2 linked regions of the Rattus norvegicus genome follow. The protein of the gene in region 2 binds, or shares a complex with, the protein of the main gene of each other region. Links are inferred from orthologs where the notes say so. Each region holds a gene or a part of one and is shown on either strand. Other genes may lie near its edges.

Region 1 (14,793 bases), on a different chromosome or scaffold from region 2:
CCACTGCCCAGCTCTTTCTGTCTTTATAGGTGGAGTTCTCTTTACTGAATGACGCCCGCCCTCCACAGTTCTGCCTCCACCTCTTCAGGCAGAACAGTTTCTTCATGACTCAGCTCAGGAATTCTCATCCAGGGGCATCTGGGGCAGACCTGGGTGCAGTTTCAGCTCTTTTTCCCCTGGGGCTTTGAACCTTAAATTCTTGGCATGTGAAACACTGACATGGTCTCAGACTGTTGAAAGAATTAGAATTCATGATCAAGAAGCTCCTTGTCTGTGGCAGGTTCTCAGACACTGAGCCAATCTGCCCTGAAATGTTTATGTAAGTCCTTAGAGTATGTATGTTTGACATGGAGTCTTTGTCTGATGATGATGGGCCGGACTAAGCTTGAAGACAGGAGAAACGTGTGTCTTCAAGCAGGTTGGTGTTTATAGAGTTGCTCTCCCTGGTAGCTGAATGTCCCCATATTTAAACGGTTTTGTGGTTGGTACGTAAACTGGATGATCTTGGACAAGTTGAACAGAAAATGGAACACAGCCTCCTGATCTGATGATTCTATGGCCTCATCTTCTATGGTGAGCAATTTTATTTTTAAATAATACCAGGATGGAATGTGTTTACTATGGAAGCTGGGAGCTGGTGACCTGGCTGATGATTTCAACATGGATGCTGTGGGAAAGCAGTTTTCAGTGAACTGAGATCTAACTAAGGCGTGCACGAGGTGAGGGAGTGGAGTTCATGGTTTCTAGTGATTAATATAAACACATCCCTTGCGCCCCATGATGTGCAGATGGTAACGCACACACGTCCTTCATGCACCATGATGTGTACACGGCACGTACACTTCATGTGCCAGACGTGCACAGTGTATCATGTACGTTGAAGTCCTTGTTAAGTATAAACTGTCACTTTATGATTTAATTTCCTTGCTGACTTTTGGAATATTGCCAGCAATAGAGTGCAGCCAATGCCTGTTACACTGTCAGGGTGGCAGTCTTGAACTCACCTTTGTGCTGTACCACTGGAAGCAGATCCCAGGCGACAGACAGGTTACTCCCCATAAACTAAGTTACCAAACTGGATTTCTGGGTGGGGTTTGTAGTTTTTGATGTTCTGGAAACCCAGTCCAGGGCATTGCGTATACTAGGCAAGTGCTCTACCACTGGCCTACATATAAGGCGAGAGTTTGTTTTTTGCAGGTAGCTTGGTGGGGGAACACACTGGGTATTGAACCAAAGACTTTGCACATGTAGCAGACACTAAGTTCTGTGTCCAGCCTAGCTGGTAGGTTTTAGGATTATTAGCCATGAAGAGATAAAGGAAATGGGTGTAATGGCGGGTGCCTGCCATTTCAGAACTTGGGGAACTGGAGCAAGAAGACCACAAGTCCAGGGCATGACTGGGCTATAACATGACTTAAAGGCCAGTCAGGGAAATTTAGTGAGACCCTATTTCAAAATAAAAGAAGACAGGTTAAGTTCTGTGGTAATACGCTCACCTAGTAGGCATGAGGCCCTGGGTTCAATCCTGTGCCCCAAAAGGGAGAACACTAAGTAAGGTATTCATAGTCAGGCGAGGTTGGTCCACACGTAATCCCCGTACTCAGAAGCAGAGGATCACGTCAGGATCCCCTTGGACTACAGAGCAGGTGTGAGGTCATCCTGGGCTATATGAATAAGAAGATCCCATCTCAGACAAACCCAAGTGAACAGCCTGTGTGTGTGTGTGTGTGTGTGTGTGTGTGTGTGTGTGTGTGTGTGTGTGTGTGTGTGTACACAGGCACCATAGTCGACTCCCTTCGTCATGCAGCTCTGTCCTGAGTACTGAGGCCTAAGTGTTGTGCAGTCTTTAGTCCTCACCAGTACTGACACCTCAGGGATAGCAAAGCTACTCGAGAGAACATGGAGCCAAACCTGGAGATACTTGTGGTGTGACCTTGTGCCAGCTGGTGCCTCACTGTCTCTAAGGGCAGCATGCTAAGGCTCCTCTGAATATAAAATGAGATAATATGTCCAGGAATAAGGAGGCTGGGTGTACAGCAAGGCAGCAAAAGTATTTGCACATAAGCCTAATAACCTGAAGTCAGTCCTTGGAACATCTCCGTGGTGAAAGAAAACTCTCCTGATGTTGCCCTCCTGGCGCATGCTGGACATACCCCGCACCCACTGTACCCATGGTAATCCTCTCGAATGCTGGGCATACCTCGCACCCACATGTACCCATGGTAATCCTGGTGCATGCTGGGCATACCCCGCACCTACACATACCCATGGTAATCCTGGCACATGCTGGGCATACCCCACACCTACACATACCCATGGTAATCCTGGTGCATGCTGGGCATACCCCGCACCCACACGTACCCATGGTAATCCTGGTGCATGCTGGGCATACCCCGCACCTACACGTACCCGTGGTAATCCTGGCGCATGCTGGGCATACCCCGCACCTACACGTACCCATGGTAATCCTGGCACATGCTGGACATACCCTGCACCCACACGTACCCATGGTAATCCTGGTGCATGCTGGGCATACCCCGCACCTACACGTACCCATGGTAATCCTGGCACATGCTGGACATACCCTGCACCCACACGTACCCATGGTAATCCTGGTGCATGCTGGGCATACCCCGCACCTACACATACCCATGGTAATCCTGGCACATGCTGGGCATACCCCACACCTACACGTACCCATGGTAATCCTGGTGCATGCTGGGCATACCCCGCACCCACACGTACCCATGGTAATCCTGGTGCATGCTGGGCATACCCCGCACCTACACGTACCCATGGTAATCCTGGCACATGCTGGACATACCCTGCACCCACACGTACCCATGGTAATCCTGGTGCATGCTGGGCATACCCCGCACCTACACGTACCCATGGTAATCCTGGCACATGCTGGACATACCCTGCACCCACACGTACCCATGGTAATCCTGGTGCATGCTGGGCATACCCCGCACCTACACATACCCATGGTAATCCTGGCACATGCTGGGCATACCCCACACCTACACGTACCCATGGTAATCCTGGTGCATGCTGGGCATACCCCGCACCCACACGTACCCATGGTAATCCTGGTGCATGCTGGGCATACCCCGCACCTACACGTACCCATGGTAATCTTGGCACATGCTGGACATACCCTGCACCCACTGTACCCATGGTAATCCTGGCACATGCTGGACATACCCTGCACCCACATGTACCCATGGTAATCCTGGTGCATGCTGGACATACCCTGCACCTACACGTACCCATGGTAATCCTGGCGCATGCTGGACATACCCTGCACCCACATGTACCCATGGTAATCCTGGTGCATGCTGGACATACCCTGCACCTACACGTACCCATGGTAATCCTGGCGCATGCTGGGCATACCCTGCACCTACACGTACCCATGGTAATCCTGGCACATGCTGGGCATACCCCGCACCTACACGTACCCATGGTAATCCTGGCGCATGCTGGGCATACCCTGCACCCACATGTACCCATGGTAATCCGTTTCATCTTTCTTAAAGGAAGATGGGAAGTGGGGAATCCCTGGGTTGGTTTGTTGGTTGGTGGCTCCTGGTGCTGGCTTCAGCTTGTGTGCACATCTCTGGTGCCCATGTTCCCAGTAGCTGTCATGTGGTTTGTCCCTATAAATAGAGCAGTGGCGGAGTGGGGGATCCACCTCCTAGCCTAACCTCATGACCAGCTTCATCCATAGTGACCCTCCTAGAGTCACTTCTCAGTTCGGGGGTTAGGAATCGAGACTTGGGGCAAGTGGCATGTCTATGACATGTCTAGGTCGTGCCTTTATATAGTGCACAGAGCATATTTAAGGAACGCATCACTCTGTGTCTAAGGCTGCTTTAAGGTTTATCCTTAGGAAGTGTATACATAAATTTAAAGTCAATATGCATAGTAGAATTATTGATGCTCTTCGGAACTCAGCAAAGAAATAAGCAAAGAGTGTTCCAGCCGGCAGCTAAAGAGCGTCTTTGGTGGACAAGGATGCCTTTGGTGGAAGCAGAATACAGTATGGCCATCTTGTCAAAGTGCTAGAGTTTTAGAATGAATCTAGGAAGAGGTAGGGAGAACTTAGCAAAAACGTTAACAGCAATGGGATTTAGGGTGCTTTCAGTCTTTTTAAAAATTTTTATTAAACTGATACATTTGCACTAGAAAATTGTAATAAATTGTAGAAAATTTAACATGTGGAATAATAACTAGTAGTGTTTGCAAGCATTGAAATGAGCAATTAGGGGAGAGTGGATGGTTGAGTTTGATAACATGGAATGAGTATTTGTAAGTACAAACTTACAAAAACTTAGAAAACGGCTCGTTAGTAGGCAAGTGAGAGGGCTGTGGGCATTTCCTGCAACACTGTTAACTTGATCATGAGACAAGTTGAGTTCTTAAGTGACTTGGAGCTGGCAGAGAGCTGTGAGTAGCATTGGTCAGAACCTGGCAGGACCATGTGGTTTTTCTTCATCAGCTCTGTGGGACAAATATTTAGTAACTGGTTTGAAAAAATGCCCAGTTACACAGTCTTGTTTTTTGTTTTAATTTACTTTTATACAATGAAAACCAATTTTATCTTATTTTGGTTTTTAAAATCTCTTTCCAGGTTAAAAATTTTGCAGTTATTTATCTTGTGGATATTACAGAAGTACCTGACTTCAACAAGATGTATGAGCTCTATGACCCATGCACGGTCATGTTCTTCTTCAGGTAGGCTGTCTGAAACTGCTGCTTAAATAGAGCTCTGTTGGGCTGGAAGTTTGATGGGACAGACAGATCCCTTTGCTCAGAAGGAAGTCAGTTGTGCAGTTTGAGTCTTTTAAATAGTTGTAAAGTACCAATTCCAATTTTAACATCCACTCAAACAACAAATAACTCTTGAAATACTTTCCAGAAATGGTTGTGAAGTGTAATTAAATAGACATTCTTTCAGGCATTTAAAATACCTTCAGATAAAATCTGCTGATGAAGAAACCTTTTAGAATACAGCTTCACTCGCTAGATATTGGCACTGACTTTATGTGGTGTCCATTGACAAAATCCAAGAAGGAAACCTGAGCTGCTTCGCTCCATGCACGCCCAGGTTGTTTTGTGAGCTTCAACACTCCGGTAGGAATTTGGGAAGACCTCTTCATTTGACTGGTTCTACTCATCAAAAGTTTTTCTCGTAATTACTAAAGAAGTTGGTCTATAGTCATAGACCTCCAAAGGCGGTGTCCAGATAGAAAGCGGAGTTGTGTGTTTGATCTCATGCACAGGCTTAGCGTAAACTGGCTCTCGTTTGTGAGTTAACAGCTCTGAGGCTGAGGTAAGCAGGGTCTCAGGCGTGACCTGTGGGCTGAGTGATTGCAGGTGTCTGAGGCTTTTCTTCTTGCTGCTGTTGGTGGGAGCCACTCTGCTCTTTAAGGCTCCTCTGTCTGAGTAAGACAGCATCCATTGTCTGTCACAGTGAGCTTTTCGCACAATCCTCTCCTTCTTAGAGGGGGGTTAGACTAGTGCGAGTTGGGTAATCACAGTGATCTCCTTTTAGAGCCAGCTACTGAGGAGCTTGGCCCGTGTCAGGAATGTCCTGTGCAGTGTCACAGCAGAGGTCCCAGGGACGGGCGGTATTTTAGGATTTTGTCTATTATCCTTGAGACTGTCCTTCCCTTAAAGCAAGCCAGGACCCTCTCCCAGGTCTCCAAGGACCCTAGAGACCCCACTCCTGGGACCAGCAGGTCACAGTCCTCATTGTCCAGATCACCCAGTCAGTTGCTCTGAGGTCTACAGCGTGACCCCTGCCCTGTGAAGTTGTTCCAGCTCAGAGGGATTGGGCAGAAACAGGGAGCCTCTTCCCCTTCCACCTCCAACACCCCACACCTGCACACACAGCACACAGGGCCAGACAAACTTTAATAAGGCTCAGTATTACACTCCTAGCTGCGTGCTCCCCCTGGGAAGGGATCTAACCAAGTCTCCTTCATGACTGATGCTTGCAGCTGAGCAGGTTGACCAGCTCTTTCAGCCACAGTGGGGGCCATTCTCTTCTTTCCACAGTCTTCTCTTCCTCCACAGTTGCTGCCTGCGAATGTTCTGGCCTTCAGCACTGTGCTATCTGAAGAAGCTGCGAGTTTAATTTTCTCACTAACAGTCCTGAGCCCACTCATCTCTGTCCTTTACGGACAGAAAGAAAACAGGCAGCATTTCCTTGTTTGGAAATCTCTTCTGCTAAAAAACAAGTTCAGTTAACAAGTTCTGCTTTCCATACAACTATAGGACACAGTAGTTCCTTCCCAGTGTGCAACCAAAGTCCCTTCCTCTTTGTGAGAAACAAGGCGCTCACTTCACATGGGAGAGAGGGACTAGCTTAGAGAGACAGCGACAGGCATGGGAGGAGGTTGGAGGAAGCAGTGTTGGTGTGTGGGTAGGGACAGCCGGTGTCTTTGAGGTCATTAGGACAGATAGTGGACTCAGAAAAGAAGACAAATTTCCTCCTTCTTCTGTGATCCAAAGTTCTAGAACAAGAGTCAAGAGTGGTCAGTTTATATCCCAGTGTACCTACCAGGTACACTGAGTACCTACCAGGTTTTACTCTTAGGACTGGGACAGAGTAAGAGAAGCCAGGCTCCTCTTTACAAAAACCCTTTGCAGAGATAAAACTGACTGAAGCCTGTCAGAATCACACAGGGTTCCCGGGTATACAAAGTACTAGTCATGTCCAGTGTGCTTACAGAGAGACTAAGCCATAGAGCCCAGTAGGGCTGCTGTGCATGTGGGTAGGAGGAGGTGTGGGTGTCCACCCCCTTCCTGGGCTAACTGAGGACATGGAATGCTCCCTGGGAGTGAATATTTGACATATGTCATGTCAAACTGACCTTTTCACTGCTCTCAGAACCAGTGGGGCGTGGTCATGGGCTATAGTGGAAGCCAGTGTGTGATTCCATAGAAGTGATCCCATAGTGTTAGACTAATAGAAACAGATCTTTAGAAACTTGAAAAAATTCATGCAAATTCAGTAGGGATTAATATCTTTATTCAGAAAGTACAAATGCAGGTTCCTAAGTGAGGGAAAGGCCTGTCCTCTGAAGGGTGAGTGGCTAAGGACTGTTTGCTTCTCAGTCACAGCATACCAGGTGGGCAAAGCCATCATTCTCAACCCACGGTTACAAAGCGTTTGGTGAATCTGTACCAAGTCCCTGTGCACAAAGCATGAGAAGGTCACAGGCTTTTTCAGGAAAATTAGAGCACCTCGGGAAAACTGCTTGTCTTTCAGAACGATACAGCTGTCTTTGACCTTTACAGTCCAAGATACGGATGCACAATTGCAGGGCACAGCGGTGCATGCCCTCAGTCTAGAACTCGGGAGCAGGGGCAATGGGGTCTCTGAGTTTGAGGCCAGCCCTATCTACAAAGTGAGTTCCAGGACAATCAGAGATATGTAGAGACCCTGTCTCAAAAGAACTAAATTATATATGTAAACAAATGCACAGAAAATCCAAGAAGAGTGCAGAGTTTTTCTATAGAAAATTATATTTAGTGTTTGTCTTTATTTTGTCTTGAACTGTGGACTCTCTGAGTGGTCTGTGCTCTTAAATGGCATTACAGGTGCTTAGGCCGCAGAGAGACCAGACGTGCGTGGGGCTCTCTGTGAGCATCGCTCTTCTCTTCTCTTTCAGAAACAAACACATCATGATTGATTTGGGCACTGGTAACAATAACAAGATCAACTGGGCCATGGAAGACAAGCAGGAAATGGTTGACATCATAGAGACCGTGTACCGTGGCGCCCGCAAAGGCCGAGGCCTGGTGGTGTCGCCCAAGGACTATTCCACAAAGTACAGATACTGAGCACTGACTCAGGCTGTGCACAGGACACTGGGAGCCTCTTCTGGCTAGACAGACTCTGCTCTCATAGCCTCGGGAAAGGGCCTGCAGCAGAACATGGCCTTAGGGCTGGAGGAGCCTTGAGATGAGTTACAGGGGCCTTAACTACCTGAAGCAAATAAACGTGAAGGAACAGTAGGAATCTGCCGTGTGCTTTACTGACTGTAAATGTCTTCACTCTCAGTGAAAGCGTTGTCTGTCCCATGAGGCTGTCAGGTTTTGCATCTTCAAGTGGTCGCTAGAGCTGTCAAGCAAATACCACAGATAGGGTGGCTTCCACAGACATTTCAGCTGTATGGTTTTCCAGGTCTGCACCTGAGGTGGCTGTGTTCTGGGTTCCATTTGAGGCGTGGGCTATCCATAGTAACCCCTTAGCTCTGGAGGTTATTAGCCGTCCTTGGTGAACCTTGGATTGAGAGTACATTATCCCAGTGTTTGCCATTTTCCTTACGAGTTGTGTATGTCATGTGTACGCATGTATATGCCAATCTCAAAATATTCATAGTTATAAGAATACCAGTCACATTGTCTGAGGGGCCCACCTCACTCTGACAACCTCATCTTAACCAATTACATATGATAATCACTTCAAATAAGGTCATGGTCTGAGATTCTGAGCTTAAAACATCAATATATTGATTTGGGGTGACAACCCTTAAGAGGACCCAGTCTTACTCTTACTCAGCGTATAAAATAGCCCTGGAATCCAGGTATGATGCACCCCTGCTTCCCGCCGAGGCCAGACTGCTGCGCTCAAGACAACTGCAAAAATAGCAATTGTCTGGGGCTTCCCTTCCGCGAGTTGTCCTCGACTCTTCCCCCATTTGTCTGTGTCATACTTCCTAAGGAGGCAGGGTCCTCATTTCACTCAGTACAAGTCCCCTTATCTATTCAGTTTTCTCTTGTTTCTTCCTGGCAATGTGGAGGGACCTGGGTCTACCCTCTCACCTCTCTGAACACAAACTCAGAAGAGAAAGGTCAGCATCTGAGGAGCTGACATTGGACAAGCTCCTCACTGACTCGGGCAGGCCTCTGTACCTGTCTCATCCGTCTCCATAGTACGCAGTGGTGGCCACTCACTGGACACCTCATGGGCTCTTCATAAGTTGGCCCGCTGTGAAAACTCAGGAGTGAAGCAGACATCTTACCTACAATTAAACGCACTTGTCAAATGGACTAAGCCATGAGTCTAGGGCTGGGATGCTGCTTGGTGGTAGAGTAGTAGTCCTAGCTTGCAAAAAGTCAGTCACAAGCCCATCTGCAGTGGGATGTCTAGCACTAATGTGCCCATTAAGGAAAGTAGTAGCTGGGCATGGTGGTGCACACCTTTAACCCTAGCACTTGGGAGGCAGAAGTAGACATTTCTGGTCAAAAAGCCAGTCTGGTCATCTGGTTTACATACTGAGACCCTGTAAGGTGGGGCGGTTGGGGACAGGGAGTTTAGCTTCCCTCACTGGCCATGGATGGCCCCAATCATTGTTCTTGATTCCCTACATAAAGGGAAACTCCGTATGGCGCCCTCAAGAATGTCCTTAAGTTCGATGTGACAGGAAAACGCTTAGGTGGTACAGCCTTGCTCTCCACATGTAGATGCAGAGCGCTCGCACACATGTGCACTTGCACATCTACTGAAGGAAAAGTAATGCTGTGTACATCACAAATGTGAGCGGGCCTGGGTGTCTTAGGGTTTCATTGCTGTGAAGAGACACCATGACCAAGGCAACTCTTATATTAAAAAATAAAGATAACATTTACTTGGGGCTGGCTTACAATTTCAGAGGTTCAGTCCATTATCAGGGTGACCGCATACTCAAAGACATGGTGCTAGAGGAGGAGCTAAGACTTCTACATCTAGATCAAAAGTCGAGCAAGACCGGACTTGGCTCTGCAGGAATCCAGGAGGAAGGTCTCATCTGCACTGGGCAAAGCCTGAGCATAGGAGCCTCAAAGCCCAACCCCACAGTGACGCACTTCCTCCAGCAAGGCCACACCCACCCCAACAAGGCCACGCCCACTGTAACAAGGCCACACTTACTAACTGTGCCACTTCCCATGGGCCACGCATATTCAAACCACCACATGGGAAACGCCTTAGAACCGAGTCAGCTTTAAGTCGCTGCTGGTATAACTGTAGCCTATGCTGAGGTTTGCGCTGCCATTGAACAACTTCACTCCTGGGACCTTCACTAACTAGATCCAAGGAGCTTTCCAGGGACCTTTGGTGATGGATACCAGGGCTGACCGCCACCCTCTTCCCAGAGGTGTTTCCTGTCAACCTGCCTACCAACGCTCTAGGTAACAGATTCTCCTCTGCACTATGTAGACAGTGCCATTTTCGTTCGAGCTCCCTCGATGGGTCTACTGACTGTGGGCCGGTGAGCAACGTGGGAAGCCGTGCCTGATGTCTGCAGAGATCCAGAAGAGAAGGGAGAAGAAAAAGAAGCTGCCACTGAGAAGGCTGTGACCAAGGAGGAATTTCAGGATGAATGGCCTGTGCTAGTGCCTGAGTTTGCTGCTGCTCAGGAGAGGGTGACAGACCGGTCTGAGTGTTCAGGTGCCCTTCCTGCCTGTCTGGCAGAGCCTCACTGAAGACTGGAGTGCCAGCCGCTTAGGGCTGGACTGCAGCTCCCACTGGTCAGCCACTGAATGGAGTCCAACAGCTACCAAGTGCTCACAGAAAGGTCAGCAACTGTACAGTCTTTACTTTTACCAGGGGTAAACCCCTGCAGAGTGGAGTCTCTGTGAGACTCAGAGTCCACAGTGCTTGGAAAGTTACAGTCCAGAAAGGCAGGGCCCCACACAGAGGGTGAAGAGTTCCCCTTTTTAGCCACAGTTGACCATTGCTAGGGGTTAGAGCAGTGGCTCTCAACCTTCCTAATGCTGTGACCCTTTAATACAGTTCTTCTTCAAGATGTGGGGACACCCAGCCATAAAATTAGTTCATTACTAACTCATTGGATTAGCGCATCATTAAAAAGATATCAGGTTATCAATATACATCTTTCCTGGCTGACCATTACTGGGGTCCCCCAGGGCAGGGCAGTCAAGAATCTAGAGAGACAAGTTGATTTACTTCTAGAAACCAAATTACCATAGTTAGCCATAGCTGTTCTCCAGACACTTCAAAGTGGAAAGGTGGATGGGGAACGGTTTCTAACTAAACATAAATCATATAAAACACAGTAGAAACTTGGGCATCGTGGCACATAGGTGTGATCATGGCCCTCAAGAGATAGAGGCAGGGGCAACTGGAGCCCACGGCTCTCAGAAAAGCTAAAAGTAAATAAAATGGCATCCTAGTGGTATAAGATCTAGTGTTTTGTTTTAAATCTGCGCCCCTGAGCACCTGGCACATAACAGACATTGAAAATATTCTTGAATACTTCAAAGATGGGAAAATGGCCAGAAAACAGAAATACTCAACACCACCATTCAGGAGGGAGAGCCACAGCTCGATTCTACTTCTCCTCCACTGGAGCGATGGCTTCACAAGTCGGGCAATACCAAGTGTTTGTGAATATGGGGAGGAATTGGAGTCCTCATCAACTGCTGGTGAGACCATCTCGCCAAGTCCAATGTGATATTATAGCTGCCACTCCTAGGTTTAGACTGAAGAAAACAGAACAAACATCCACACAGAAACTTGTGTACAGTACCGTTATCCACAGCAGCAAAAACGCGGAAGCCCAGGTGTCCATCGCTGGGTGAAGACTGGCAGACAGGGAAGTCCCCGTGGACAGAAAGTGGGTTAGTGGCTGCGTAGGACGTGGGCATGAGGTAGGAAGCTGCAGGGTGTCTTTGAGATGATGAACGTGTTTTAAAATCACAACACACAACGTGTGTTAATCACAACGTGTTTTAAATTGCACAACAAATTAAGGCCATGCCATTGTTTACTGTGTGGGGTAAATGGTATGAAGGTATTACAGATAGTAGCCTTCCGACGTTAGGAGAGAAGAAGGGTGGAAACCTGTCCGTTCCACATTCCTTGTTGATTGTATCCCTCCTGCTCATGGCCTGCTTAGACTCTCATAACAGAGTGAACAGACTAAACAACAGAAATGTATTTTCTCAGTTCTGGAAGAACAAGTTCGCGGTTCTGAGACAGTTGAGCTTCAGGATACTGGCTTGTGGAGGACAGTCTTCTCACCGTGCCCTCATGGGCTCTCCTTACTGTGCACACTGAGAAAGAGCCAACTTCTGTCTCTTATGAGGACACCAGACCTACTGGATGGCGGGGACTGCCCTTGTAACCTCATTTACCCTTGGTTACTTCCTTAGAAACCTTTCCAAACACAGCTGCACTGGGGTCAGTGTATAAACACACCAGTTGGGGTATATAAATATTGAGACTGTCACAGATACAGAAGTATCACCCAGTGACCCTCCTCCCTGGTGCCCCGGGCTGCAGAGCAGTTGACTTGATCACCCATTCGAGCTGCAGCTGAAGGCAGCCGTGGCAACCTGGAGATTCATCCCCAAACTTCCCAGGATGCCCTGTAGGCAAAGCCTGGGGACTGCTCAAGATGAGGAGTAGGCTTTTGAGTAAACCCAGAGGGGTCAGAAGGAGGATCCCATCAAGACTGCAGAGATAAACAGAGTGGCCAGTGTGTACAAGGAGAGAGGCAGCCAATTGCAGCACTGTTGGGAAGCCGCACCAGACACAGGCGAGAAAACAGACAGTGGCTGTTGCATAGCACTGAGTAGTCGGTCCAGAGGCTCACGTACCCAACCGGTGAGCCCCATACAGCGAACAGCAGGATGCAGAAGGCTGTATGTAGGCTGCCTGTGCATACAGATCAAGACGAAGACATAACATGTTGTGTTTGCCCGTGCAGTCTTAGAGCATTCAAGACAAAGACCTGACGCATGAACACGTGTGCATGCTGTCCATTTCGGAGCCCTGAGGGTGGGCACCCCTGACTGTTCTGGACCCACAGAGAAGGCATGACAGACATAACACAGCACACAGCACAGCTGAAGGTTACAGCATGGGGGATCCCTTGGTTGGGGGTGGGTAATCCCATTTCAATTAAATTTTCAACTGATTGAAAACATAAAAATTATATTTTTGTGTATGTATGTATGTATGTATGTATGTATGTATGTATGTAGTATTGCTTTGGACACAGAGTCTAACCGTGTAGTCCTGGATGGCTTAGAATTCACTGTGTAGACCAGACCACGCGAATTCACAGAGACCTGCCTCTCTCTCCTGAGTGCTAGGATTAAAGGCAACGCCCACAGGCCTTTAATTATTAAATTAAACCCAAAGGCAGGGCTCAGAAAGAAAGCTGGACAGACGTGCAGGGGCTCGTGGGAGGCCGATGAGAGCCCAGCTCTGTGATGTTAGGGATATAAAGTCAGTCTGTGAGCGGTTCGCCTGTTCCTCTTTGTTTGCTCTTGGTTTTGAGACAGGAATCTGTTACAGTGCCAGGGCTAGCCTCAAACTCATGATCTCCCTGCCTCTGCTTCCCAGGCGCTGGGATTGCCTGGTCTTTGTGGTTCTGATGAGCCTCAGATCTGTTCGACTCACTTCAACTATCTACTGCGAGCCTGCTAAAATCACAGTTATGACTAAGATACTTTGACATTTGGCACCCAGTCAGATGTCGCTGCCTTTATTTCAAACCACCAAGACCATCAGACTTGAGCCATCCAATTTAAGGGACACAGTTTAAGATCAAGAGATGCCCACCATCGTCGGGAGCATTGGGTGGGGCCTCTTTCTTCTGTGTTTGGCTGAATGCTGTGGATTTCCTGAAACTTCTGGCTTGCTGAGGGATGTTGGGTAATCTCTCACAATGCCGTTATTAGTAATGTCTTGAAATCAATTAATGATCACAATATCCAAGAACTAACAAACCTTTAGTTGCCTAGGTGATCGTTGCCATACAGTGGAATATTAGGCAGCACTTGGGGGTAACGTGTGAAATTTTCACAAGGGACAATGTTACAGGTAACGAGAATAGGCTGTTAAGCTATAGGGAACACGGCTGAATGTCTTAATATTCAATATCTTAATATCTTAATAGGACAAGTGCCATCAGGCCAATTAAAGGTAGGACTGGGGGTGATTTTAAGTTTATATTATGCAGGGGATACCTTTTTATAAACCAGAGACCCTTTAGATGACAACACCCATTTTGCACTGGTTTGAGTAGCTATTCCAAAGGCTGAGTAGCCATCAGATTATCTTGGCCTGGTTCTGTCCCACAGTGATTCCTTGGTGGGGTGAGGCTCATTCTGAGGCACAGGAAAGCTCTCGAGGTGGGGGGGGAGGTGAGAGAAGTAGCAGTCTGGTTGCTATGGGACAGCTTGCTTTTCTAGTTCTTTCCAGTTCCTATGTGCCGAGTTGGCTCAGCTCTGAGGCCTTCTGTTGGAGGAACAGTTGGCCTTGGGTTTTCTTAGCCTGGCTATGTGAGATTGAGAATTGGAGGCAGGAGTGACTGGCAGGAGGGGCTACAATAGTTACTGAAAACCGGATGATGCACACTGGGACCACAGAGGTGACTCTGTTCTTCCTGAGGGCCTGGATTAGATTCCCAGCAGTCACGTGGTAACTAATAACCAACGTTTACTCCGGTTTCATGAGACCCAACACCCTCTTCTGGCCTCTTGAAGACACGGCACACATGCGATGCACAGGGATGTATGCAAACAAAACCACCATACACATAGGTATTTTTAAAATAAAAAAAATATTATCAGGCTCATATGCTCGGAAGAGCATATCGGCCAGGTGGTGGGGGGCACACACCTTTAATCCCAGCACTCAGGAAGCAGAGGCACGAAGATCTCTGAGTTTGAGGCTAGCCTTGTCTACAGAGCTAGTCCCAGGACAGCCAGGACTACACAGAGAACCTCTTCTGGAAAAATGTGGAAAAAATGAAGACATAA
Region 2 (15,148 bases):
TCTCTCTCTAGCATAATTACACTAGAAAGTTAAGAACAAGATGAACATGTCTCTTGCAAATATCACTGGAAGTTGCTCAAAGGATGGACAGAGCTCTGCCTCAGTTCAAATCCAGGCTCTGCCATTTACTACCTGAGATGTTGGTCAACTTATTCACCTCTTTGGATAGTAAAACAGACATACTAGTTCTCAGCTTAATGGTGTCTTATGGGTTCAATGAGTCAATGTACTCAAGATCTAAACCCTCTGTAAACAATAGCCCCAAAACTTGGTGTCATATGTTAGTTGTTAGTAAACGTGAGCTCATGGTCACAGGAAACCCGACAAAAGGCCATTTACTGGGGTCACTTCATTTTATGTACTGGTCGTTTTTTCTGTTGTTGTTGTTCAGGTTTTTTTTTTTTGTTTGTTTGTTTTTGTTTTTAATCTCAGCCAGACGTTCTCTCTTCCAGGTGGCAGAAATATTAAAACACAGCATGACAGACCACACTGGTGGACAGCGATTCCTGGCCGGGTCCCAGGTACCTTATGTAACAGTGCTGTTTAACTGGGGTCACTGGCCTTGGAGCGGAGAAGTGGGGTCGCTGACGTTGATGCAGTGGCCTCGGTAAGGGCCGGGTGAGCAGGAGCCCTGACGCAAAGAAGAGGGGCTTGCCCTAGGGGCGGGGCCGCGAGCTGGCGGCTGCTCACCTCGGTGGCGCGGCAGGTACACCTGTAGGTCTGGCTTGCGGGGCCGCGTGGGCGCGGGCGTGTGGCGCCTCCTCGCCTTCTCCTTGGCCGCCTGCTTCACCTTCTTGTCGTAGTCGTCCCTGCGGGGAGCCGAGCGGGAGTCAGGCGCTGTCACCCGGCCGAATCGGGCCGGGCCGGGCCTGGGGCGGGGCGGTACCGAGCGATCTGGTTCCGACGGATATGGTGTACGAAGCCGTGGCTCATGTCCAGACGCCCGCCGGGCTTGCAGCACAACCCCGGGCCTGGGTCCCGTGCCGCCTCCATTCGGATCCTGGGTACAGAACCGCCGCAACCGCCACAACGGCCGGGTAATTCAGGCCGCCGGCAGCGGATCAAGACTTCCGGTCGCGGACCTCGACTTCCGGCTCCGATGCCCTTTTTTCCGGTTGCGTAGGGGCGGGTGCCGCGGAGTGTTGACGCTTTCGAAACTTGAGAACCCTCATCTGTTGATCACTGTTAGAGCTGGAAGATCGCTTTCTTTGTAATGTTATCTACACGAAAGAAGGATTATATTCAGATGCCAAGAAATTATTTTAAAAGTTCGAGTCATCCAAGAATACCGAACGTGCACTCTATTAGTTTAGAGATGTTGGCTTTCTTTTCTAGCCCGTTAAAAACTCCATTCTTTAGTACAATAAGCTTCATTATGAGATCAAATATGTGTGTGTATATGTGTTGCGTGTATTTGCTTTGCTCCTATCTTTAAAGCTAGATTCTGCTCACGAGAAAGTTATATTTTGTTATCTCCATCATCTTTGCTGCATCTTCTCTCCTTTAGACCCCTTCCTTGCCTCCTATAGTTCTACACACACACACACACACACACACACAGACGCGTCTAGGTCCTTCATATCGGAAAGAATTCAATATTTGTGATTCATCTTTCCAAATTATATTGAATTCGCTTAACATCTCTAGGTTCACCACTTTCCTGCAAATGACATCATTTCTTTATGGCAAATTAAAAAAAATGTTATATATGCCATTTGGTTGACGCTTTAATCCAACTGTGCCTAAGTGTCCTTATTTTTGTGTTTGTAATGTGTGTAGGCTAGAGGACACCAGGTGCTCTGGTCTGTATTCCCTTCCTGTTCCTTTGAGATAGGACTTCTCACTCAACCTGTAGTTAAGCTGACAGCCACCAAGCCCTAGTGGTCCTCCTATCTCCACTTCCCAAAGGGCTAGGCTATGTCCACTGTAGGCTTTTTACATAGGTGCTGGGGATTTGAACTCATACTTGGCAGTAAGCATTCTCACCGACTAAACTAATCTCCTCCGTTTGTTTGCTTATTAGTGGACATACTAAAAACATCTATCTCTAATAGGCAATGAGGCAGACAAGTGCTCAGGTATGCAAGTTTTCCCCACTCATACCCAGACCCTATTTCAGCCATATTGGGGTTGCAGTGCTAGAGCCCAGACCACTTGCTTAACTGTCCATGGCAGGAACCAAGGCCATAGGAGGGTCTAATAATGAATAGCCTTTTCTTCTTTCTTTCTTTTTGGTATGTAGCCTAAGATAGTCTTGAACTAACTATGTAGCTCAGTTGACCTTAAACTTTGGGATTCTTTTTGCCGCAGCCTACGTGTATAGTTTTTCAAATCTTCAGTTTAAAATGTCAAAATCAGAAACCTGTCATTAGAGCAGTGACAAAGTCTAGTACATCTGTTTGATGGGATATTATAATGAAAGTAAAGGAACAGACTATCTTACACCAGATGTGAATGAGACCTGGTTAGAAAGAGGAAAAACCAACTCATACTTGAGCATAAAATCCAGGAAGGGGCTGGAGAGATGAGATGGCTGAGCAGTTAAGAGAACTGACTGCTCTTCCAGAGGTCCTGAGTTCAATTCCCAGCAACCACATGGTGGCTCACAACCATCTGTAATGGGATCTGATGTCCTTTTCTGATGTGCTGAAGACAGCTACATCATGTTCATATATAATAAATAAATCTTAAAACAAAAACAAAACTCTAGGAAATGTAGTCACTATTTTGGTTTGGGTGGGATTCCACATGGGCACAAGGACATTTCCGGAGTTCTTCTCTTGATTATGACAATGGAGCTGTAAGTGTTCACACATCGAAATTTAGCAAATTAGACACATCAAACGTGTACTGTCCTGTATATCAATTATACCTCGATGGAACTGTTCAAATAGGCAAGGTCTAAGGCATGACTCCGTGGTAAAGCTGAATTTGAAGTTTTATTAGCTAAACAATAAATGCGTAGAGTATTTGCAAACTCCTTATTTCAAGAGCCCTTTAAATATGTTACTAATTGAAGTTCCAAGGTACAAGCCTGAATGAAGGAGAAATACTGATTTTTTTTCTGTTTAGGTCATCAGTCCCTGATCATGGGGACATCTGTGGATTGTCGTTTCGAGACACAAACTATCCTGAAGATATCTCGGGTTGAATGCTAGCTTCGTTTTTCCTACAGTCAACGTAGCCTATGAAAGGTTCTATTTAAGCTGTGAAGAGAAGATGGATAAAGGACACAATATGTTCAAAACTATCTCATTTGGGCCAGCAGCACCTATAACGTTTTATAAGCTTGTACTGTCCCTCACAGCGACTCGTAGCGAGCTGTGCTTCTGAAGCTAGCTCGGCTCTTGATTGGCTGCTTGCCTCCCGTGCGCGGCGCCGGCGCGGAAGCTCCTAACCGGTGGTGGCGATGTCTAGCCGGTCCAAGCGGCAGTCTCATGGTTCTACCCGTGGGAAGCGCGAGTCCGAGTCTCGAGGTAGCTCGGGTCGCATCAAGAAGGAGCGAGACCGCGAGAAGGAGCCCGAGGCGGCGAGCTCCCGGGGTAGTCCGGTCCGCGTGAAGCGGGAGGCCGAGCCGACTCCGCGAGAGGTCCCGGCGCCCGTGCTCCCGGTTGTGCGGGTGAAGCGTGAGCGTGAGGCCGACGAGGACTCGGAGCCCGAGCGGGAGGTGCGAGGTGCGCGGGGCCGGGCCGGGCGCGACCTCCCCTTTTGCCTGCTTTCTTCTCTCTCCTCCTACTTTTTGAGACAGGTCTCAGAAACGTGAAGCTGTAACCAGAGATGATCTTAGATTCCTGGTACTTTGCCTCCCTTTCCTGAGATCTGAGATGCCCAGTTTTCATCTGCATTTTACTTTTCCTTCCTACCGCCTCCTTGCATGGGTTTGAATCTAGACTGGACTGCCTTCAAATGAAGACAATTCTAAACTTAAACGTTGTCACCATACACCACAGCTTCTTCCCGTTATTGAATGGCTCATGTGAGTCAGGTGCTCTGCTGATAGTTGTACAGGTGTTCCCCTCACCGTTTTCTATTTCCCTTCAAAATTCCTAAGATTCAGAGCCAGGTTGTAATTTCTGGAACAAGGCTGTTAGTCGAGTGCACCCGACTAAAGTAGTGACTTTGTATCAGTTGAATAGTTCAGAGACGCTTCTGTTTCTCCTGGGTTTTGCATGGGATTTCTATGTTGTCTTGTAAAGGATGTTGATGTAATGAACAGCCTTGGGAGACAGATTGTATTATTCCATAGAGCAAAAGGGAGTAAGGTCACATGAAGGTATAATTCCCTTAAGGGCAGGGATCTTCTATAATGTAACCCACTGTGAGCACTGGCTCTTTTTCTGTTCTAGTGTGGGACTTAACTCTAGGATCTGGCAAAGATGTCATATAATTGGATATTGTTAGTCGCTTTAATAGACTCTTTGGTTTAGTCTGTGATCGTGTGCCTTCTGTCAGCATCCATGAAGCTGTAGCAAGCTAACACATTAGAGCTAACTTTAGAGTTAGCACATTAGGATTAACTCTCAGAATCCATCACAGTTCTTGGACTAATGGTAGATTTAAGGATGTTTAGACTATCTTAGTACTTGTGATATATTTCATGATAACTTTCATGCCTATTTGATATTTATTTATTTATTTAGGCAGGCTCTTAATAAATAGCCCTGGCTGTCTGGAACTTTTTCTGTAGACTTAGGGATTTCACCTAGCCTATCCTCTCAAGGGTTAGGATTAATTGTGTGCACCACTATACCTGTATGCACATACCATGGTATACATGTGGGCAACTTGTGGGAGTCAATTCTTTCTTCCTACCCTGTATGTCCCAGGGAGTGAATCCAGATAGTTGGGTTGGTGGCAAGCCCCTTACTAAGCCATCTCACTCGCCTGGATTCCTTTATGTAATATATAAGTTAATCTTTTGTTGGTTATATATGTAATAGATCTACTCTTGGTTTGTAACTTATGTCATTAGTGGCCTTTTTTTTTTAAATGTTGTCACTAAATGAAAAGTACAAGCTCATCTTACTCTCAGTGATCAGACTTTCCCAATCTCAGTGATCAAAAACTTTCCCAATCTCAGTGATCAAACTTTCCTAATCTTAGTGATCAAACTTTCCCAATCTCAGTGATCAGACTTTCCCAATCTCAGTGATCAGACTTTCCCAATCTCAGTGATCAGACTTTCCCAATCTTAGTGATCAAACTTTCCCATTCCTGTGATTTTTGTTTTGTTTATTTGTTTTGTACCTGTGATTTGAGGAGAGCCTCCTGTCGTCCATTTATGGTGCTGGAGCAAATCCTGCCTGTGCTAGTTAAGTGTTCTACCACTGAGTTATTTTCCAGCACAAGTTTCCCATTTTAAAGCCTGTGATGGATTTCTTTTCAGCAAAGAATGGCCGAGTGGATTCTGAAGACCGGAGGAGTCGTCACTGTCCATACTTGGATACTATTAATAGGTGAGTGATGTGAAAAGGATGAGGAAAGTCTTGGTGATGTATCTTAGTAGTGAGCACTTGCCTGACAGGGCAGAAGTCCAAGGTTTAATCACCAATACTATGCGAACAAACAAAGTCAGTGGATTTTTTAAAAATTTATTTTATGTGTATTAGTGTTTTGCCAGCATGTGTGTGTGTGTGTGTGTGTGTGTGTGTGTGTGTGTGTGTGTGTGAGTGCACCAAATCCCCTGGAAATGGAGTTATAGACAGTTGTGAGCTGTCGTATGGGTGCTGGGAATTGAACATCTGGAAGAGCAGCTAGTGCTCTTAACTGCTGAGCAATCTCTCCAGCCCCATATGTAGATTTTGAGATGCAGAATACAGTAGAAAATTCTCTAAACTGAGCATTGAAGAATACATTCAAACCTTCCTCCTTTTATGCCTGTCTGCCTAGGAAATTGTGCTTCTTGACATGTTCAGTTGTGTTGTTCCTTTATAGTGACAGTGCAGTTTTTTTGTTTTTTTGTTTTTCGGAGCTGGGGACCGAACCCAGGGCCTTGCAGTTGCTAGGCAAGCGCTCTACCTCTGAGCCAAATCCCCAACCCCAACAGTGCAGTTTTTTTTGTTTTTGTTTGTTTGGTTTTTTTTTTTTTTTTGAGGTGTGTGTGTGTGTGTGTGTGTGTGTGTGTGTGTGTGTGTGTGTGTGTGTGTGTAAAATCTCTGGCTGTCCTAGAACCCAATCCGTAGACCAGGTTGCCCTTGAACCCAGAGATTTGCCTGCCTCTTGTCTGCCTCCTGAGTACTGAGATTACAGGTGTGGACCACAACACCTTTGAAGATACTTGAATATCAGCTTCAGCACATGGGTTAAGGGAAAGAGCTCACTATAAAGTAAGACACACTTAACAGCACGGATGTGGGGTTCTCAGAGAAGTGTTGCCTTTTGTTGTTATTTATGTGTGTGTATCCCTGCACAAGTTCATGTGCATCATGTGCATGCAGGTGCCTGTGGAGGCCAGAAGAGGGCGCCAGTTCCCTTTGAAGTGAATTTATGGGTGGTCGTAAACTGCCCAGTGTGGGTGCTACAAACCCAACTCTGGTTGTCTGCAAGCACTCTTAACCATGCAGCCATCTCTCCCAGTCCCCAAAGTTCTTGTTTGCTTGTTTTTGTATGGCAGAGACTTTATCTTGTATATTCTTTGATTTTCAGTTGTCCTCAGCCTATCTTCTAGAATGGTGCTGTCCAATAGAACTCTCCACAACAGAGAATTTCATTTTAAGATGTTGGGTTTTTTGTTTTGTTTTGTTTTGTTTTGTTTTGTTTTTGTTTTTGAAACAGGTTCTGATATGTGGCTCAGGAAGACATTGAATTCTCAACTCTCCAGCCTCAGCCCCGAGTGCAGGGGTTATAGGTGCCCCACCAAACTCATCAGCCATTGCTCTCAATAGGGGATGTTTGCTGTGGGAAGCACAGGCTACACAAGGCTCTTGATGACTTGACATATGGCTCATGCCCTGGAAGCACTAATTCATTACTTTGCTTGTGGTACTGGAAATCAAATCCAGAGCATTTATGCTGCACATACCTTACCACTGAGCTACACTTTAGCTTAGGAACTAAATTTATCAATAACCACATATGACCAATGGTTCCTCAACAGTATAGCTGTTAATATTTACTATGGAGTCTCACATTTGTGGATTCAGTGGACATAAAAGCTTTTGGTCTCTTTCTGCTCAGCACTCATACTGTGGCTCTGTGTTGTGTTAAACTTCTTCAGCTGCTTGCTTTCTCATTCCTCCTCTATCCTGTGGTTTTTCTCTCTTTTTCTTTTTTTGGTGTGGTGTGCTAGGATCTTGTGCTTGCTGGGCAAGTACTTTACCACTAAGCAAAACCTCCGGTCCTTTCCTTTTCAAATTCCCAAGCTTACCCCCTCCTTTTTTTTTTTTTTTTTTTTTTTTTTTTTTAATAAACAAATAAAATTTTATAGCCAGGCATGGTAGTAAAATGTCTTTAATCCCAGCACTCAGGAGGCAGAGGCAGGTGGATCTCTGTGAGTTCAAGGCTAGTCTAGTCCAGAGCCAGTTCCAGGACAGCCAGAGCTACATACAGAGGAATCCTGTTTCAATAAACCAAAAATAAATAAGTAAATAAATAAAATTTTTATTTATTTTTGAGCCAGAATCTCACTGTGTAACTCCAACTAGCTTGGAATGCAATGTGCAGACTAGACTGGCCTCAAACTCGCAGACGTCCACCTACCTCTGCCTCATTAGTGCTAGGATTAAAGGTTTGTGCTACCATGCCTGGCAGATTCTTTAGTCTTTAAAAGGATGTGTCCTTTCCCAGTGCTGTTGGGCTCTTATTTTGGTCCTATTTGTTGCTTTCCCTGCAAAGAATGTGAAGATTCTTTTTGTTTTCCATGTCTTACTGTATAACCGAGGCTGGTTTGGAACTGTTTATGGCTAGAGCAGGCCTCAGACTTGCAGGCTTCCCGACTCAGTGCTAGTGTTGCAGGAGTGAGCCACTGTGAAAAGGTTGTCTTTTATATCCGTCAGGTGAGTGGAACCAGGATTCCCTGATATATGCCAAAATCTGGCTGTTCAAGTTTTTATAAACTGTGGGTTAGTATTTACATATAATCTATGTAGATTACTAACCCCAAATACAGTGTCAGTGCTATGTAAAATCGTTGTCATGTTATCATTTAGGGAAAAGCCTATTCATGTTTAGTGCAGATCCAGCTTTTATCTTTGCCATATGTCGATCCATGGTTTTTGACTCTAATGAAAAAGTGTGTTCTGGGCATTTGTGTTTGATGCAGACAGTTTGAGCCTGCTGTGGTGGCTGGGTAGAGGTATGTGGTCTATGTGTAGTTGCTACAGCATTCTCTTGTGTGTGTTGGTGGGGCAGCATTGTGGGACACAGAGCCAGTGCCACCTCACCCCGTCACTGTTCTGTGCTCTGTCTCTCAGGAGTGTGCTGGACTTCGACTTTGAGAAACTCTGTTCCATTTCTCTCTCGCACATCAATGCATATGCCTGCCTGGTGTGTGGCAAGTACTTTCAAGGTAAGTAAATGGGGAGAGAGATAAACGTGTTAAGTTTGTGAAGCTGCCCCCTTTCCCCCTCATCTTTATTTCCAGGAAACTGGAGAAGGTTCCCTCCTTCATCAGAGTTGAGCACATCTGGAAGAGAGAAAGATCTGTGAAGAAAGACCAGCTCTCCGAACAATGAGTTTCTAAGCTTCTGTTTACTTTTTCCCCTCCCTTCTCTGCCATCCTTCCTTTTGGTATTGGGCATTGAACCTAGGTTCTCAAACATGCTGGCAAGTACTCTACCACTGAGCTACATCCGCAGCCCCTGGGTTTCCAAGTCTAGTGTTTTCTGTATTTATAGTTTTATTGTTTGAGATGGGGCCTGAGCACATAGGCCAGGCTTCCTTGAACTTGAGTCTCCTCCCCAGGTTTCCTCATGCTCAAGAATACTTATGTATTTAGTTCTTTTTGGAAAATGTATTATTTTAACTCATTTAGACCAAGGGAGTAGTAAGAACATTCATAGTCCACTGGTGATGTGATTTAACTTTATTATTTTGTGTTTGTGTGTGTGTATGTGTGCACGTGTGTGCACACATGCGCATGCCTTTGTGTGCTTATATAGAAGTCAGGACAGGGTGCAGGGGTTCTTTTTCTACCATGTGGTTCCAGAGATCAAACTCAGGTCACTAGGCTTAGTGGCAAATGCCTTTACTTACTGAGCCTTTTTGACTTCTCCCCAATGTCAAGTAAGTGTGTGTATTTGTAGACAAGGTCTTGATCCTCCTGCCATCTCTCTACTGCTGAGATCACAGGTGGCACCATGCCCAGTCTGCCTGCCTGCCTGCCTTTCTTTCTCTCTTCCTTTCTTTCTTTCTTTCTTTCTTTCTTTCTTTCTTTCTTTCTTTCTTTCTTCCTTCCTTCCTTCCTTCCTTTCTTTCTTTCTTTCATTCTTTTAGGTTAGAATAAGAAGTGATGGGGTTTTTTTTATGCATGTTCATATGTTGTTATAATTCATTCTTTTTTTTGTTTTTTATTTTGTTGTTGTTCTTTGAGACAGGGTTTCTCTATATATCCTTAGCTGTCCTTGAACTCACTCTGTAGACCATGCTGGTTTCCAACTCAAGAGATCCCCTGCCTCTGCCTCCCAAGGGCTGAGATTAAAGGTGTGAGTCACCACTCTCTGGCCTATTTTCTCTTACAGCTCTTCTGCAAAAGGATTCGCATGGGCTGAAGGAGAGCAATATTTTAGAGTGCTGGAGGGTGATACATACATACTATTATCCAAGCTTCTCAGGAACCTTAGGTGGGAAGATAGGAAGGTGGGAAGTTGAGACAGCTTGGGAACCTAAACAAGACCATGTCTCAAAATGGAAGAGTCTGGGTGGTAGCCCAGTGCTAACTCGAGAGTGTGTGTAGAGTGCACAGAGCTCTGGGTTAATCTCAGTGCTACAAAACAGTAGAAATCACAGAGGGCAGAGGACATGGGCACATGTCCTGAACATGGGTGGGAGGCCTCAGGACAGGTACAGCTAGGTTTTTTCTTTTTTCTTTCTTTTTTCTTTTTTTTCCGGAGCTGGGGATCGAACCCAGGGCCTTGCGCCTGCTAGGCAAGTGCTCTACCGCTGAGCTAAATCCCCAACCCAACAGCTGGGTTTTTTAACGTATTTGTATACTTACTTACCAAAAATGTATTTTCGACTGTTCCTAGTTTATTTTTTTTTTTTTTTCCGGAGCTGGGGACCAAACCCAGGGCCTTGCACTTCCTAGGCAAGCGCTCTACCACTGAGCTAAATCCCCAACCCCCCTGTTCCTAGTTTTTGATGCACGTGAAGTTGGTTTGTGTCTACTTTATATTGAAAGTGATTCCCTAACTTATATCTTAATGCTCTTTCTGGTTCTCTTTGTGAGAGAAGTTTATGTAATTAATTTAATGGAAGGTGTAGGGCTTTGTTTTTGCTTTTAACATGTTTTACACAAAATAATGAAATGGAGCAAACCTGATTTGTGCTTTCTAGGCCTTTCTCTGATAGCCTTTTTCCTTTCCCCACAGGCCGGGGTTTAAAGTCTCATGCCTACATCCACAGTGTCCAGTTCAGCCACCATGTCTTCCTCAACCTCCACACTCTCAAGTTTTACTGCCTTCCTGACAACTATGAGATCATCGATTCCTCGCTGGAGGATATTACAGTATGTTTCCCAGGTTGCTAGTAAGAGGCACGTTGTTTTGTGAGCTATCTTAAGGATTCCTAGAGAGTGCCCTACAAGAGGTCAGGGATGTATTTGGAGGGAGAGTGAAATGGTGAAATAAATTCAAGATTTCAAAGTAAGTTCATGATGATAACTATGTGACCAAGAAGACTCCATTCTTGCCCACACAGTCCTGGGGAGGCTTGAAATCTTAGTGCCAGCAAAGAAGGGGGTGCTCCCATTTTTGAGCTAGATACATATGACACCTCATTGGAGACTTAGGATTATAGTCCTTAGGATCCTGTGGTTTCTGACAGTCATTGATCATGGAACTGACCAAGTTGTAGGGTTGAACACAGACCTGAAATTCAGTGATTTAGGGTTAGACGTGGAACTCCGTGGATGAGTGCCGTGGAGGGCTTACTTTGTTAACTTGATCTTCATCCCTGGCTGGGGCCTTAGGGTGTGTAGTGAGGCATTCATGACCAGGGTGTTTTTATTTTGGGTAGGAATTGCCGTTCTGGACATATCTTAGAGCTTTCTTACAACAACTTAGAGTTTTCTTTTGCTTGGCAGTATGTGTTGAAGCCTACTTTCACAAAGCAGCAAATTGCAAACTTGGACAAGCAAGCCAAATTGTCCCGGGCATATGATGGTACCACTTACCTGCCAGGGATTGTGGGACTGAACAACATAAAAGCCAACGACTATGCAAATGCTGTGCTGCAGGTAGGCTCAAGAGAGAACACTGGGGAGGACAAACTGGAAGCAGTGCAAAGGTCACCAGGAAATTACTGCTTTCTTAGAGAGTGCTGTCAGAAGGTCTGTCTGAGGACACTACTTGAGCATTTGTTCTGCAGCCAGCAGAACACTCCTCTCTCTCTGGTCAAGGGGGTGGCTGCCACATGCTGAGAGATTTTTTTTCAGCCTCTAAGTTATGGCTCCTGAAGTTTCCAGGTGCTAACAGGTGCACCTTGTCACAAGGCAATGCCAAAACTAAACTCGATGCTTATATTTGCATTCCTTTCCCTCCCGCTTCCTCCTTCCCTTCCTCTTCCTTCCCTCCCTCCCCCTTCCTCCTTTCTGTGTATGTGTATGCACTATGTGGGCATGTACATGTGTGAGTGCAGGTACCGGTGGGCTCCAGAGAAAGGTGTTAGATCCTCTGGAGCTGGAGTTACAGGCAGTGCTGAGCTGCCAGACATGGATCCAGGAGGTCCTCTGCAAGGGCAGGATGCAGCCCCAAATACATTTTTTAAAAGTACTTTTTATGATTTTGTTTTTTTGTTTTTAAGCTAGGGCCTTGCTCTGTATCCCAGACTGGCCTGGACTCACTACATTGTCCAGCCCGGCTTCACACTTGTGGTAGTTCTCCTGTCTCAGCCTTCTAAGTGCTAGGATTACAGAGTTACTGTGCTTTTCTTTTAAAGTCTTTCTGGGTGTACATGTTCACTAAGTGATTGTCAGCCTTTATTTTTTTCTTTTAAAATATTTATTTATTTATATAAGTACACTGTAGCTGTCCTCACACACACCAGAAGAGGGCATCGGATCCCATTACAGATGGTTGTGAGCCACCATGTGGTTGCTGGGAATTGAACTCAGGACCTCTGGAAGAGCAGTCAGTGCTCATAACCATTGAGCCATCTCTCCAGCCCGTCAGCCTTTATTTTGTGTGACTCAGTGAAGGACATTTTACTGAGCTCTGGAAGCATTTTCAGAGGGTCAGTTTCTTTTGGATTTTTTAAGGCCATCCTAGACCTGTCACAGGCTTTGTCTGAGTGTTAGCTGGAACAGCTCTTCACAAGAGGTCTTTTAAGGGGCTTTGGGTTAACTAGAGTGCTTGACTTACAGGCACTATCTAACGTTCCTCCTCTTCGGAACTACTTCCTGGAGGAGGACAATTATAAGAACATCAAGCGTCCTCCGGGGGATATCATGTTCTTGTTGGTCCAGCGTTTTGGAGAGCTGATGAGAAAGCTCTGGAACCCCCGAAACTTCAAGGCACATGTTTCTCCTCATGAGATGCTTCAGGCCGTCGTACTTTGCAGCAAGAAGACTTTCCAAATTACCAAACAAGGTGAGAAACAAGTCATCCTCCTCTCTGACTTGAGGGCAGCATATCAAGACTGATGAACACATTCATTTCCACTGATAGGAACCGAAGGCACTGTTTATGGATAGTGGGTTAGGCTCTTTATTCTTTTCTGATCAGTCGGTTTTGTGTAGAGAAACCAAAGACATTGCAGCTGAATGACTACAAACTGTGTCATCTGACAAAATAATGGCGTTGCTTATGGGGAACCTGGGCACGGACCTGTTAGTGAGCAGTGGCCACCTGTGCTACCCACTGTCTGGCTCCCCCCTGGGAAACTGTTGGCTCCGTCTCACCTCTCAGAGCCTGCTTCTGACTGCGTCTTCTGTAGTGCCTGTTTTGAGAAAAGGACTCACTCTGGAGCCCTGATTGTCCTGGAGCTCACAGTGTGAACTAGACTGGCCTCAAACTCAAACTCCACCTGTCTCTGTCTCCCCAGTATTGGCTCATTCTGTACTTCCCTTTTCTTGCAGAGTTTTAGAGCTGTGGTGATAAGGAATGTGACCATTTTCTTCTAGGATCTCCTTGGCTAAGTGGGGAAGGTTATTGTATAGGAAGGTAGTCAGAGTGTGTTAAGTGCTATGACAAGAAAAAGCAGAGGCCCTACTTTGTGGGAGCTTGGGACACAGACCCAGCTGAGCATCTGGAAAGGGTCCTGAGTGTGAGGCAGAGCAGGAGGAGGCGGGTTGGTGATAGGTGTGCCCGTCAGGCAGGCATAGAGGTGCCAGTGTCTAGTTCGGCATGCACAAAAGTGTCTGGCACAGAGAGTAAGTAGTCATATTGTAGATTCCAGGGTCAGTGGAGGATCAGGGTACTAGCTAGGAAGGAGGATTTTTTTCAGTGTCTTTGTAAAAAGATTGGATTATATCTTAACAAGGTTGAGAATTAGTTGACACAAAAGTGTGATGTCAGATCTATGTTTGAGAAATATTATTCTGACTGGGCATGGTGGTACATGTGTATAATCCCAGTACCTTGGAGGTGGAGACGAGTTCAAGGTCACCTTTAGCTTTATGAGGTCTTTTCCTCAAAATCCAAAAATATAATTAAAACTCCATTATTCTGATAAATTACTTAAATAGAGGGAAAGTTCAGTGACTTGCTTTTTAAAAAATTTTATTATGTTATGTGTGTAAGTGTTGTGCCTGAATGTATAAATCCGTGTACCATATGGGTGCCTGGTACCTGAGGAGGCCAGAAGAGGGGTCAGATTCCCCACAAACTGGAATTATAGACAGTTGTTAGCTGCCATGTGGGTACCAGGAAACAAACCTGGGTTCACCTGAAGAGCAGCAGGAGCTCTAAAGTGCTGAGCCGTCTCCAGCCCTCTCCACACATCTCCCCCGCCCCCTCTCTCTCTTTCTTTCTTTGATTTCCTCCTCCTTCTTTTGTTTTTTTGTACAAAGACAGGGTCTCACTATGCAGCCTTGGCTGTCCTGGATCTTACTGTGTAGGCCAGACATGCCTGGAACTCACAGAGCCACCAGCCTCTGCATCCTATGTGCTGGAATAAAAGCATGTGCCACCATGCTTGTCTCTCAGAGTCTCGGGAGGTCAAGGAAAGGAGCACTAGGGAATGACAAGAAGATAAGGAGCGGCTGATACTCTTGGGGTTTAGGATTTTAGGATAACGGAGAGAATGGTTCACTTGGGAATGGACAGTATATGTTGATCAGAACCCCATGATTTATTCCCAGTTGAGCAGAAGTTACTAAGCCTTAGCACAGTGTTTCACAGTTTGCAACAAGGCCAGTAACACCTTACACTTCTGAACGGGGACAACTACCTCCTGTTCTAGAACCATCAGATTCCAACATCTAGATTCATAAGTCATTTTGTTTCTGGACCAACTCTGAGGTTCTTTTGATTTTTTTTTTTTTTTTCTTTTTTTCAGAGCTGGGGACCGAACCCAGGGCCTTGCGCTTGCTAGGCAAGCACTCTACCACTAAGCTAAATCCCCAACCCCTCTTTTGATTTTTAAGATTTGTTTTATTTTTAAGTGTGTGTATAGGCAGGTGGGTATGTGCATGTGTGTGCATAGTTAAATGTGTGTATGGGCAGATGTGCATGTGTGTGCAGGTGTTCTTGGATTCTAGAAGAAGGTGTTGCATCCCCTGTAGCTAGGGTCACAGGCAGTGGTAGGCAGTCCACTGCGGATGCTGGGAACTGAACTCAGGTCCTCTGTGCAACCAGGGACTCTTTCGTTTTTTATGTCAAGGCTGCAACAAGATACAATATTTTTGTAGAGAAATCTATTTTTTGTGCCATGGCTGGTTGTATCTATCAGTCTTCCCTTTAGCTTTCAACAGCTTTGCAAAGTTAAAGCTTAATTGGTTAGAGAATTGCAGAAAAATCTTAACTCTAAGAATAAACTTATGCTTGCCTAGTTT

Evidence for each region.
Region 1: Usp39 (region 2) and Txnl4a share a complex: the UniProt entries of both Homo sapiens proteins name them as parts of the U4/U6-U5 tri-snRNP complex. The link is inferred for Rattus norvegicus from reciprocal best matches to the Homo sapiens genes USP39 and TXNL4A.

Annotation. Positions count from the first base shown.
Region 1 is NC_086036.1:75,941,839-75,956,631, forward strand, and holds the end of Txnl4a (thioredoxin-like protein 4A), read left to right. Parts: intron 1-4,636; coding exon 4,637-4,740; intron 4,741-7,685; coding exon 7,686-7,857; 3' UTR 7,858-8,035; downstream 8,036-14,793. UniProt on the Homo sapiens protein: Plays a role in pre-mRNA splicing as component of the U5 snRNP and U4/U6-U5 tri-snRNP complexes that are involved in spliceosome assembly, and as component of the precatalytic spliceosome (spliceosome B complex).
Region 2 is NC_086022.1:105,946,687-105,961,834, reverse strand, and holds part of Usp39 (U4/U6.U5 tri-snRNP-associated protein 2), read left to right. Parts: intron 1-452; 5' UTR 453-521; intron 522-525; exon of another isoform or gene 526-553; coding exon of another isoform or gene 554-809; intron 810-886; coding exon of another isoform or gene 887-993; exon of another isoform or gene 994-1,292; intron 1,293-3,072; 5' UTR 3,073-3,409; coding exon 3,410-3,674; intron 3,675-5,386; coding exon 5,387-5,456; intron 5,457-8,411; coding exon 8,412-8,506; intron 8,507-10,526; coding exon 10,527-10,663; intron 10,664-11,239; coding exon 11,240-11,392; intron 11,393-12,517; coding exon 12,518-12,743; intron 12,744-15,148. Other genes in the region: C4h2orf68 (UPF0561 protein C2orf68 homolog), read right to left, coding at 691-809, 887-993.